Arabidopsis thaliana: one gene and its partner. The protein of the gene in region 1 interacts with the protein of each later gene in a biochemical or structural test. Each region holds a gene or a part of one and is shown on either strand. Other genes may lie near its edges.

Evidence for each region.
Region 2: the proteins of CYSB (region 1) and AtCaN2 form a complex in vitro, tested with the Arabidopsis thaliana proteins (one study listed by BioGRID).

Annotation. Positions count from the first base shown.
Region 1 is NC_003074.8:3,958,422-3,965,860, reverse strand, and holds CYSB (cystatin B), read left to right. Parts: upstream 1-3,940; 5' UTR 3,941-3,984; coding exon 3,985-4,185; intron 4,186-4,430; coding exon 4,431-4,650; intron 4,651-4,769; coding exon 4,770-4,915; intron 4,916-4,935; exon of another isoform or gene 4,936-5,050; coding exon of another isoform or gene 5,051-5,059; exon of another isoform or gene 5,060-5,200; coding exon 5,201-5,338; 3' UTR 5,339-5,460; downstream 5,461-7,439. Other genes in the region: HCHIB (basic chitinase), read left to right, coding at 1,877-2,336, 2,813-3,360; NF-YC11 (nuclear factor Y, subunit C11), read right to left, coding at 5,583-6,071, 6,170-6,227, 6,316-6,450, 6,769-6,862, 6,954-7,026.
Region 2 is NC_003071.7:16,871,625-16,878,023, reverse strand, and holds AtCaN2 (Ca(2+)-dependent nuclease family protein), read right to left. Parts: upstream 4,680-6,399; 5' UTR 4,516-4,679; coding exon 4,369-4,515; intron 4,211-4,368; coding exon 4,155-4,210; intron 4,054-4,154; coding exon 3,939-4,053; intron 3,858-3,938; coding exon 3,747-3,857; intron 3,653-3,746; coding exon 3,408-3,652; coding exon of another isoform or gene 3,404-3,407; exon of another isoform or gene 3,313-3,403; coding exon 3,153-3,312; intron 3,084-3,152; coding exon 3,015-3,083; intron 2,905-3,014; coding exon 2,809-2,904; 3' UTR 2,341-2,808; downstream 1-2,340. Other genes in the region: AT2G40420 (Transmembrane amino acid transporter family protein), read right to left, coding at 1-27, 119-271, 358-724; AT2G40400 (DUF399 family protein, putative (DUF399 and DUF3411)), read right to left, coding at 5,455-5,601, 5,727-5,840, 6,028-6,399.

The DNA of each region.
Region 1 (7,439 bases):
CGTCCCGTAATTTTTTAATTAAAGTAGTAATTTTAAAAATTTAAGAATTATTTATTATATATAAAAGTTTTGTAAATTGTATCATTTTCTAATACATTTATATTTTATAGTTTAATTTTATATATAGTAACATTATACATACCACGTAACATTTTTTGTTTTATATAATCTTTTCTAAATTAGGATGATTTGATATATTTAATATTAGTAGTCTTAAAAAATAATAAATTAAAAATTTAATCCGTATTAAAACGGTGGATTAATTAGATTTTACTTTTTTATTAATGTTGATTCAAAAACCCATCCCTCCAAATCCGTCTTGCCAAAAAGCCATTTATTTTATTAATATTAATTTATTTATGATATGACTCTGAATTATAATCTAAACATTTTAGCTAATAACATAGGAGTGCACCATATTTATTTAATAGGAGAATGTACTATATGACCTGAATGCACTTTTACTCAAATCCACCAAAAAAGTCTTGCAAAAATACTATAGACCCGAATGTACCATATTTTTTTATGCTAATTTTTCTGTAATTAAGATTTTAATTGATTTCGTATATAAAATATTAAATTGTTTTACGAACTTATTTGTTTATAATTTGGTAACAGATAGATATTTGAATATTCGGTATATTTTGCTTCAGTTTAGGAAATCTTTGATGACCCGTCTTTAAATCCAATAAGCCCTATAATTAAGAGATGAATATTGTCGTTAAATGATTTTGGTAATCTTAATGATGTCATTAAAAGATTCTATTTTTGATTAAAATTTTCTAATGGTATTGTCATGTAATTAATTACAAAAATTAAGATTACATTTAAAATGTATTTTGTAGGATTTGCCAATATATTCACATTACAATATTATTTTTTTCCATGGTCGATTATTTCTACCCGAAAGAGACGGCAACGCAGCCCACAGTGAGATTGGAGATTAGAGATTCAGTCAACGATGATTAACGTTACTTTTCATAGTTAGTACATAAGAATAGCACGCAGGTTTCGTCGAGGTTTTGGATTTTATATAGTTTGTAAACATGACACGTACTTTGGATAAAACATTATGAAATAGGGAAAGTCATCATGAGTAGTTGGAATAATGAATATATTAAATATTGGTATGATTTGGTCTTGAGTCATTATATCATTACCTGGCTAATGCTATACGTTACCTTATAATGAATTCTAAATGTCTCAATTGCTTTTTGAAAAAGTTGATCACGAACCCGCCGCCTCATATTCATAATTAAAGTTAAATTTTGTTTTTGTCAACATTGATCATAGTTAAATATTTAGACACGTCTATTTTTATTTTCTCCACGTTATACATTTTCTTGACTATTCATGCAACTCTTGTGATCTTGTCTTAGATATAGTCAAGTATTGTGTATACATCATAGGGAATATCCGAATATGTGTGTGTTTGATTAATTAGTGCACACTAGCTCAGATCATCGATTAGTCCGCAACTCGAGTAAACGTGTTTTCAGACCACCCAAAATTTTACGACCTTTGTGTCCCACTATCTACGTCGATAGTAACTTTAGAACAAAAAACTCAAAAAGAGTGTAATTTGTTATGCTTTTGGTCTTCTAAAATTTGTATTCTTCTACCAACATTTAGCACAGTTTCATACATAGAAAGTTCTCATTACTTGGAATTAACATGATAATCCCCCAAAAAAACAAATCAATATCTAACCTAGCAACAATGACGGAAGGAAAATAAATATAATCAAAAACAAACCTACCAAATACTGTTTGTTCCCCATAGCCACACTCCATAGACATAACAAACAATAAACTATGGAAAAAGATAGAATTTGATGTGATAAAACATTCATTAATTGGATCTATATATATCTTTCATGCCTCCACAAAAAGAAAACCATAGAACATTGAACAAAATGAAGACTAATCTTTTTCTCTTTCTCATCTTTTCACTTCTCCTATCATTATCCTCGGCCGAGCAATGTGGTCGCCAAGCTGGAGGAGCACTCTGCCCCAACGGTCTATGCTGCAGCGAGTTCGGCTGGTGCGGTAACACCGAACCATACTGTAAGCAGCCTGGCTGCCAAAGCCAGTGCACTCCCGGTGGTACTCCTCCTGGACCCACCGGCGATCTTTCGGGCATCATTTCAAGTTCTCAGTTCGATGATATGCTTAAGCATAGGAATGATGCCGCTTGTCCTGCTAGAGGTTTCTACACTTACAACGCCTTTATCACCGCTGCAAAGTCCTTCCCCGGTTTTGGCACCACCGGAGACACCGCCACGAGGAAGAAGGAGGTCGCCGCCTTCTTCGGCCAGACTTCCCATGAAACTACAGGTACCCAAAACTCATTAACAATTTGACGGAGATTGTTTCAAAACACAATTGCTAAATTTTGGTGTTTATTATTAAAACATCAGAATTTGAAGTTCTTTTTTTCTTCTGTAAAGAGTTTTGGATCCAAGTGCTCATATATACAAAGAACTACTATACTATATATATATATATATATATATATATATGTTTTATTGAAAAAATTATAGCTTCTCATATTTAGAAACGAAAGAAAAAAATCAAACAAAAACGCCAAACGCAAAGAAAAATGTTTTGGTCTTAGATGTTTGCGTTTACAATTAAAAAACTATTTTAAAAATATGAAATTCTTGATTAATCTAAACGCAAATAACCAATCAAGGAACTTACGAATATTCCAGTTTCCAAATTATACACTTTTGAATAATGTCAAGTTTGTGAGTTGTGACTATATATATAGCTATATACTAATTAATTAAGTGGACGGTTACGTCGTGCAGGTGGATGGGCTACAGCACCAGACGGACCATATTCATGGGGCTACTGTTTCAAGCAAGAACAGAATCCTGCTTCAGACTACTGTGAACCGAGCGCCACGTGGCCATGCGCATCTGGCAAACGCTACTACGGAAGAGGACCAATGCAACTGTCGTGGAACTACAATTACGGTCTATGCGGTAGAGCAATAGGAGTTGACTTACTCAACAACCCTGACCTTGTTGCCAACGACGCAGTGATCGCTTTCAAAGCCGCGATTTGGTTCTGGATGACTGCTCAGCCTCCCAAACCGTCTTGCCATGCCGTGATAGCCGGCCAGTGGCAGCCTTCAGACGCCGACCGTGCCGCCGGGAGATTACCGGGTTATGGAGTGATTACGAACATCATTAACGGTGGATTGGAGTGTGGACGTGGCCAAGACGGGAGAGTCGCCGATCGTATAGGGTTTTATCAGAGGTATTGTAACATATTTGGTGTTAATCCTGGTGGTAATCTTGATTGTTACAACCAAAGATCCTTCGTTAACGGCCTCCTCGAAGCTGCTATTTAGTAACGAGAGTATTATTATTATAATATAATACGCAGCTTTGTATTATCAAAACAATAATATCAGACTAATAAAACTCTTTCCAATGATGTTTCACTGTTTATGTTGCGATTTTATTTCCCATGGGCCTTTTTTAATTGGGCTCTCTAGCAGATGAGAGAAAGACGAAGAAAGGTGCATAGATGTTTTAAACTTCGATTACAAGTAAAGGTGTTTGACAATTTCTGTGTGACTCTGCCGACACGTTTCGTATAACGTGCCGCTATCCTCAGCAACGTTTTCATGTGTAATCCAGATTGGTATGAATTTCTATTTAAAATGTTGGTAGCTTAACCGATTGAGGCCAAATCAAACCAATCTATAACTCGAATCGGTACTCTTTTCTTACAAATGATTCGATTCAATTGGCATCCAATCAAATGTAAACCTTTTTTGTTTTAAATCGTAAGAATATTTTCATAAATCAGAGCCTAAACTTAAAACTGTACCAACAAAACCAACATCAAACCAAATGGACACCTTAATCCGGTACACGGCGAATTAACTGTAGAGGATAAAATCAACAATTCGACGAGTAAAACGAAAAATATCTAAAAATACAGGGCACCGAACCAAATAAAGGTGAGAATGATGAGAAGCCGTTTCTTACTCTTCATTGTTTTCTTCTCTCTATCCCTCTTCATTTCCTCTCTGATCGCCAGTGATTTAGGCTTCTGCAACGAAGAGATGGCTTTAGTCGGAGGTGTTGGCGATGTCCCTGCTAATCAGAACAGTGGTGAGGTTGAGAGCCTCGCTCGTTTCGCTGTCGATGAACACAACAAGAAAGAGGTTCCAAATCTCTCATCATCTTCGATTTTTTCACATCTCTCGTCTCGATATGTGTGTTTTATGCTATTATAGTCTTGATCCAGAACACGATTAGACTAATTTTGTCCGGAGTTTCTCTATTGATCTCAATTTCAGTTACCAGCAGATCTTAGAGAGTGTATATTATTCGGTGATGAAATGCGTTCATGTTGTGGGATTGATTGATTGATTGATTTTTTGGTTTGTTCTGTCTTTGGTCGTCGTAGAATGCACTTCTTGAGTTTGCGAGAGTTGTGAAGGCGAAAGAACAAGTTGTAGCCGGAACACTGCATCACCTGACTCTGGAGATTCTCGAGGCAGGACAGAAGAAGCTTTACGAAGCCAAAGTGTGGGTCAAGCCGTGGTTGAACTTTAAAGAGTTACAGGAGTTCAAGCCTGCCAGTGATGCCCCTGCTATCACTTCCTCCGATCTTGGCTGCAAGCAAGGTGTGAATTTGAGTAGTTACTGATAAGAACATTATAATGTCAGGGGATATATATGTAGCAAGTCAGAGATTGTGGGTTAGGAAAGAGTTTGGTTATGAAAATTGGGTTTTGTGGATCAGGTGAACATGAATCTGGATGGAGGGAAGTTCCCGGAGATGATCCAGAAGTGAAGCATGTTGCTGAGCAGGCTGTCAAGACCATTCAGCAGAGGTCTAACTCCTTGTTCCCTTATGAACTTCTGGAGGTTGTGCATGCTAAAGCTGAGGTATGGCTTTAATTTACTATATACTCTATCTTCGATCTTAATTGCACAAAATGAATTTCAATAGAGAACTTGTCAGATTTTGACAATGTTTTTGCATGAATTTCATCTGAGAAATTGCAAATAAACGAAATCAAGTGTCAGTGAAACCGAATGGTGTTGAAGTTTTAGAAGTAGAAAAGACTTTAAGCAACATATTGGTTCTCCTTGGTATGAGGACTAACGTCTGAGTTGTAATAGTTGGTGATTACAAGATTAATGAGCTTAATATTAAAAACATGGACACAGGTAACCGGCGAGGCTGCAAAATACAACATGCTACTGAAGTTGAAGAGGGGAGAAAAAGAGGAAAAGTTCAAGGTGGAAGTTCACAAGAACCATGAAGGTGCTCTTCATCTCAACCACGCGGAGCAACACCATGACTAGTCCCTCTCCTTTGTTTATGTACTTTTGAGTGTTTACTTACTCTGTAAGATATTTTAACTTCTGATGTAAAACTCTAAAACCTTAAATAACAAATCAGGAGAATAAATTAAGTTTCATAGAGTGCATGCAATCTTTGGTTCATACAATAAATGGAAACAGGAGAAGATTTTGATGACAGAAGAAGCATTTTCTAGACAAACTGCTAAACGCTGCTACTCTATATATCCTATAGTGCTGTTATGACTTAGCCTTCTTCGTCATAATCTTCCTCATCCTCGTCTATCCTCTTACCCAGACTAGCAAGCTGTGCTGGATCCATTTTGCTTATGTCCATCATAGGCCAGCCCGAATACTCCTCAGAGTCTGTTGCTGCAGTTGTGGTTGTGGTTGTGCCTGTGGCTGGTGCCAGTTTGGTCTCGTTTAGGTCGAGGGATTCAGCGTTGAGATCAAAGTCAATGCCTTCTTTGGGACTTTGAAGGTGTTGCTTGGTGTCTTCGTTCGATGCTGCTGTGCCGTCGATGCCTTTCTTCTCATCCTCTTGTGGTGATGACTCTGACGCATGCATCTTGACATTGTCTTCTGGTGGTGGCTGTCCAGAATTGGCGGCTTCTACTTCCATCTCGCGGTTGAGACCCTCTCTTTCGGCTGCTTTTGCAGCTCGTCCACCACGACCTCTTCCTCGCCCTCTTCCTCTACCACCCCTGCCACTGGTCTTAGCACTCCCTATCTCTTGCTGCAGTGATTACCAATATATTCAATGAATCTAAGGAGCTGGGAATAGACACCAAATGAATGATGAAGTATAATATTTCAAGAAGAACACGAGCTCACCGTTTTGCTTTTCTTATATTCCTCGTCACTGTCATTCACTTCATCGCTGATGGGCTTCCTGTTTTGATAAACCATCTCACATCAGCTTGACACGGACTATAAACAAAGAACTAGAACATATGGAACTAAGAGATCAAACATCCAACCTTCTCTTGGAGATGCTGCGATCATCCATGGTAACATCACCATGTCCTTGCCCTTGGGAATGGCCATAGTCAGGCACCTTACTCACAACTTCCCTCAGAAAATCAAACACGTTATATCTTTCCACACAATGTTTTCTGTAAACAACAAAGCACTTTGATAAACATGGATGAGCAAAAATAAGAACTTTATCCCAAATTTGTGGTATAAAATTCTGTAACAGTAAACAACATCCTCTCGGTGTTGGATGCAGTGAAAATAGGCCCTATGAGTTGGAAGCTATTCCGCTTAACAACATCATGTTAACTCTTAAACCACAATATCAATAATTACAACATCTGAAAGCTCTAGAATTTAAAATGCATTCAAGTGAAACCTTTCATGCTCTTTAGATAATGACGATGCTAGCATGCAGAGTTAAAGCAAAAATAAAGGTAAACCAATCTGTTACTTACAGGTGCAATGAGCTCACAGTCTTGGCACCTCTTTCAAGGGTAATTTCATATGTACGATCACAAAGGTCTTGCAAGAACAACTCCAAAGATTTTGCTGTAATAAGAGAACATGAAATTTAGCCAAAGGGTAAAGTTTCCAATAATTCTCTTTTCAAACTGAAGTCAATGATAGCAAGATGACTTACAGACTAAGACAGGCACTGCCAAAGCTATCTTGCCAACATCCTCATCAGCTTGCATAATCTTTTTAATACGAGCCTGAAAAATTGTAATATATGCATCAAATGAAGAAACAGCAACCATCACACAGTGTGTGTGGCAATAATTACAGACTACTAAACGAATTATAAAGCAAATGGTAGAACTGAGAAACACCAAGCACGCTCTGTACAATCACCAATCAGATTATACAAACAAAAATATATTAACAAATTAAATGGAAAGTCAAAATCTGTGAAAAACTAATATTCTAGCCTCAGCTCAAACAAAATAAACCACCATCAACAATAACCAACTTATGAAATCATCTGACGTTTTATTCAATAAAGCTAAACAAAATCTAGCTAGCCAAATTGGAAGCTCTACAAAAAGTTCCAAGCCTATGAAAAAACAATTCGTGTATAACATCCCTGCTTCAATCAACACTATCTAACCAATAGCTGACTGGTTTG
Region 2 (6,399 bases), on another chromosome or scaffold:
AAATTGCAGAACTAAATGCCAATCTTTCTACACAAAACATAAACAGACAAAATCATCAAAACCAATATGCATTGATCGATTCAAGCAAAGACTAAGTATTTAGTATAAGAAACGTTACCTACACGTCTGCATAAGACTAAAGGAAGGAAGAGGAAGACAAAGATGAACAACAAACCAAAGAATCTCGTATTCCACCAATGAGAACCAAACCATTCTTGAAGAAGACCTAAATGTATGATTCCATCTTTCTCATTACCCGAAATAACATCACCTAAGAGAAACAAACAATCACTGAATCAATTCAAAGGTTTGTGAAAAAGTTCAGATTTTTATTTTTGAGACAAAATCAAATTTTACCAATGATAATCGAGAAAATAATCATAGACCCAAAAGTCACAACCATTGTAACAACCGTAACAGCAACGGCACCAGATTTTCCGAACGATTCCTTCATCACGCCGGCGTAAGTTGTTGATTCTCCGGCGAGACTGGATTTCATTAAAAACCCAGCTGATACATTGGAGAGCCAAGCTATGATTACGATTATCGATAGAGATGGGATTACACCTAGGACTTTGAAAGCCGCCGGAATCGCCATAATTCCAGCTCCGACGATGCTTGTCGAGATGTTAAACACAGCTCCGGCGAATGATCCATGGTTCTCCGATGATGATGATGAAGGCTCTTGGTTTGGTAAGAGCGGTGCTTTGATCGCAGGAGACATTTTCTTTCAACTACCGGAGAAAGAAACTAACAGAATTTTCCCCGGTGAAGAGGAAATGGTAATGAAAACTGAAAATTGATGATTGATTTGTGAGAGAAGAATAGATAATTAACGACGTCAATATTACGTGGCATCGTAATCATATACTGCAGTTAGGGGTGTCAAAATGGGTAACCCAACTCAACTCAACTCATAATCAAATGAGTTTAGAATTAAATGAGTTATGGGTTGACCCAACTCATTTTGCTAAATGGGTTGAGTCAACCCATAACTCATTTAATTTGATGGGTTGAGTCGTTAAATGGGTTAACCCATTTAAGTAATAATTTAATTAATTATTATTATAAAAAAATAATAAATAATTATCATTATTAATTCATTATCATCAAACTTAAGATATTTACGGATTCCACTTTTTACAGGTTTACGTTTTTGGTACCGAAAATCACGGATTTACGTTTTTGGCGGGAAAATTATAGGTTTTTACGTTTTTGGCCGGAAAATGATGGGTTTACGTTTTGGGCGAAAAAATAACGGATTTACGTTTTTGGCGGGAAAATCTCGGGTTTACGTTTTTGGCGGGAAAATCACGGGTTTACGTTTTTGGCGGGAAAATCTCGGGTTTACGTTTTTGGCGGGAAAATCACGGGTTTACGTTTTTGGCGGGAAAATCACGGGTTTGCGTTTTTGGCGGAAAAATTACGGGTTTACGTTTTTGGCGGGAAAATCACGGGGTTACATTTTTGGCGGGAAAATTACGGGTTTACGTTTTTGGCGGGAAAATTATGGATTTACGTTTTTGGCGGGAAAATCACGGGTTTACGTTTTTGGCGGAAAAATCACGGGTTTATGTTTTTTGGTGGAAAAATTACGAGTTTATTTTTTCTCAATTGCATCGCTTGTATATTTAAGAAATTTGGAAAAATATTAATTTTATTAAATTGGTTTAGATGTGTTGGTTAAACTTAAATTGGCATTGGTTTAGAGATTTTAGTTGGTTTAATTCAATTTTACAAAATTTGATGGGTTAATTGGGTAAACCATTGAAACCATTAACCATTACAACCCAACTCATTTTACTCATCAAACCAATTGACTCATCAACCCATTTGACCCATCAACTCATTTGAGTCAAAATTTTCAACTCATTAGGGTTCATGAGTTGAGTTGAGTTGAGTTGACCCATGAATTTTGACCCATTTTGACACCCCTAACTGCAGTACTATATATATGTCCACTGTCGCATAATTACAAATAAGTTTACTCAAAAAATTTATATATATATATATATATATTTTTAACAGAAATTTCTTAAAAACAATATCTTTGTCTAAAAAAGGGGGGGGGGGAAGATCTTAATTAACTTAGTAATTCTACTAAACTTAAAAAGATTGTTTTAAAACATAAAATTTGTGATATTTGATTTATAAAGTATTTTTTCGTAATTATTTTTATATTTTTTATTTAAGTCAGACAGTATCACGAACTAGTAGGTTGATGTGATCGAAAGAATCAGAATAGTCTATAATGTTTTTTATTTGATTAAGCTAATATTTTATATTTTAAATATAGTAATCATAGACTTTTTTCATAAAAAAGTAGTCATAAAAAAAAAACTCATATAGATAACACGACAGCAGTCAATAATAATCATGTGTTCCATTATACAACAAACCGGAAAAATAAAATTAAATCGCTCCCAAACAAAATAAAGGTTTTGTTTCACAACAGATTTAGGTGGGATTTTGGTTTCAGAGTATGTCTCTGATATTGGCTTGAGTTTTAGAGGTTACCGTAAAGGTTTGTCTGAATATCATTGTACCAATCGTCTCTGACTGTCTTCTCACTGGTGACTTCTTAGAGAAAGATTTGGTTAATAGCACTACACCACATTACTGATTTTGATCAATTTGCTAACTCTATAATATCTCGATATGTCTCATCAAAGATAGGGTGAGTGCACAAACCATTTACACACAGAATAGGGCTGAGGATTTAAACAAAAACCCTCAACAATCACAAATCTCAATTGTCTTAAACGCTGATTACTTGGTTTGTGATTTTGCCCAAACAAAGTCGGTTGACTATTCCCGCCTATTATTCTTTCTCCAGTCCCATGGCTTCTCTGGATTTGAAGAAGCCCACAAGCCAATACGCTTCTGCCTTGCCTCCTTTTCCCACTGAATGATTTCACATAAAATGAACAGTAAATACACAAAAGATACTATGTCAACAAACTAAAGAGACTTCGTACTTGTAGTATATACAAAACAAACTCTACTAGTCTTGCCTTTGCGAGAACCGGGCGCTTGTCATAAGCTAAGTAATGCCAAGCAAGCCCTTTCTTTAACATTGCCTCCTAGATAAGAAACCAATAACCGATTAAACAAAGTTTTTATTACAACGGAAGGGCAAGTACTTCTATTACCTGGACAAAGATCCCATTGCAGTATAAATCACCTACGCATCGCCCATATTGATCTTCTCCATAAACTAACACCTTCAAGCTTTTCCGCCCAACAATCTTTAAGAGCCCTTCTTGTGCCTCTTTCCCAAACGGCATTTGGCTCTCTGGTGCATCTATTCCCCTATTTCCTTTCCCATCACCAAACAGCTTCACTAAACAAAATAATCCATGGTAGAACTAGTTGAGCTTTTCTTAAAGGAAAAGAGTGATCTTTACCTTAGTCTAATTCTGAACTTCCGAGCAAGAACTTCCTCATTCTCAATATTTAGTACCCTGTAACCAGAATCAATGATCTTTTGGTGAAGTTCGTCAGCTTTTGGATAATTTCTCTTCTCACGTGCTTTTGCTCTTTGAACAGCTGCAAGATTGACTTCCCTTGGAACAGAAGATGACACAACCGGCTCTGAAGTACTGACATACACTGTGATGGTGTCTCCATCTGCCACAGCTTTTGGATCCACCTTGTTTTCCATTACACAAGCTTAGTCAGCAACATTATCAAATCCCAAAAACCGAGTTGTTGTTCTTTTTGATTTGTACTGAAGTCATTCTAACCGGAAGTGTTTGAAATTCGAAAAGAATCCCTTCAGGCAAAGACACAGGAGCTTCAACAGTGACTTCAACTAGAGTATGAGACAAAGGGAGTCCATAGAAAGACAAAAGCCCCTGTTTCATAAACAACACAATCACATAAATCTCTTCCAATTCTCATAAATGTTTTAAAACATCTGTTCTTGCTAATCATACCTCAACATCAGCTTTCTGATTCCTTTTTAAGATATCAGTGACAAGCCTAGAAGCTTCCTCAGCTGTCTGCGGTGGAGGTTTTGCTTGCTTCCATGCCTCAAGTATTTTTCTATACCTTTCACAATGTTAAAATACATGACAAACAGATTGATTACACAACAAAGTTCACATCTTTATCCTACACGAAACATGTAAAGCAATCTTGTGTTATTTTACCAGTTTGCTTGAGCTTTTCTAGATGACTGAACATACCTCCCAAGCCCTTCAGGAACCTACAGGTAAACTCATCATCAAAATCAACTTTTGAACCAAATCAAGTAAAGAGACCTTCCAACAGCTGAATTAGCTTAAAGATCACTGGAGCACAAATGAAAGCAGCAGAATAAGTAGATCAAAGGACGGTTAGAAGTTTCAGTGAGAAAATTAAGACCTGGGAAGTGATCTCGAAGTTGAAGAGATCGTGAGCGAGAGCTGAAACACCGACGGTGGCGGCGGAGACGCCGTGAGGACCAAGAGAGTCATCGGTTGTTGTGGGTTTGCAGCATTTTCCGTAGAGAAACGTAAGAGCGTTACCCATCTTTCACCCAATTTCAGGGAATCCAAAAAGTTTTGATCTTTCTAATACCTTACCAGAGCCCAGAGGAGAATCCTAAAGAGGAAGGACAAAGGAGTCAACTCTCAAACACTTACTCTTATCTGTAATTAACTTTTCAATAAATAAATAAAAATGATTTAATTTAAAAGGAGAAGAAAAAATAAGTTGGGAGAATAATTAAGAATAAGGCAACAATTTTTTTTTTACAATTCTCTTTGTTAAATAAATCACAATTGTAGGTGGTCCATACAAACACCGAAGTCCAAAAGTAAGGAAACTATCCATTGTTGGAGCACAAATAACCAATTAGGATAACATAAGAAGTTCCTCCTTGGGTGTTTGTATGGCCGCGCAATACTCAGTTACTCAACAGTTTTTTGGTTCTCGCTGTGGCTTTGACAAGCTTGTGTTTTATATGACAAAAAGATTGTTGTGTCAGTCTGGCAGAGAAAGTGAAAAGTGATGGTAGCGAATCACACCCATGCATGGAATTTATTTGATGCCTGAGCACAGTTTGATACGATGAAGACAAAATATCGTTAGTTGTCATTAAAAACGATCTTGTTAAAACAAAAACAAAAAAACCCTTATGTATGCCATCTGAAACCATTTCCCATTATTCTCAACAATTTTCGAATTGATAAGCTACAACTATAAGCAATTCATGACTGTACAGTACATGATAAATGATGTCATATTTGGGAAGGGCAATAAGAGAAAAAAAAAACTCGTGCATCCACCACCATGTGCAAATATGGCAAACCAACATGACTAATTGAAGAAATTTTATTCACGAATCATTGTTTCCCGTAAGCTAAGATACAAAAATACAACTCAAATGAATATATCTTTCCCTCCAATACGATCAAAAGCTTTTATAAACATATACAATTGGTACCTAGTCACATAGCCGCATAAATCTCATTGATTCTTAAGATCATCCATACTTGCCTCTTCAGTTGTACTGTATTCCACTGTGGATTGGCTCGCAACCTCGGGGATTTGGTTGGAAGTTGTGACACTTTTCTGAGTTTGCAGACCCGTAGAGCGCGCAAGATCAATCCATTGCTGCGTTTTTATGAAAAAAGTTGGAATGAAGTTAAACGGTATATCAAGAATTAACCAAAAATAATAATAAGGAAAAAGGAGACAAAGAATTCAAGAAGAGATCATAGTACAGGCCTAATTCTGACCTGAGTTCCAAAGTAGGAGTTAGCTACTCGAACAACAAATGAAATCATGTTTACAAGTAGAGGTTGAGAAGAAAGCTCGTCAGAAATGCGATGCTCTATTAACCCAGCAATTATCTGCAATTGAAAGTAATATGATTTTAGAGGCATAAATTCAAAGCATACTGTTCTTCATCAAAAGGCCTTCCTTGGCTAAGATGCAAAAGCATAATATATTGCTGTGGTCATTAAGCAACTTTAACTACTTTTCATTAATATCCCTCATTCATTGAGTCAACATGTAAAGCACCGCGCATCACCATACCTGATAACGGATATTCGAAGATGTTCCCAGATAACCTCCATACACAAGGGCCGTCTTCAGCATAGGAGACCTCTTTGCTTGCTCACCAACACCCAACTCTGGTTTAATGAATTTTCGTATTGCATACAAAGCATTTGAAGATCCCACAGCTGCAAAACTGGAAACAACTCCAACACCAGCAAGCTTCAAGCCACCGATAATAACTGAAGCAATCCTAAGACTCAGAGTCCACTCTTGTCCACCTAGACTTTTTTGAAATGCATTGTCAGGTATGGACCCTAGGAGGCCTCTTAAGGCATCTATGCTGTTTGGCCCAATTGTCTCATCAGCATATGAGATAAAAGACAAGGTTGGTGCAGGGAGCCAAACTGT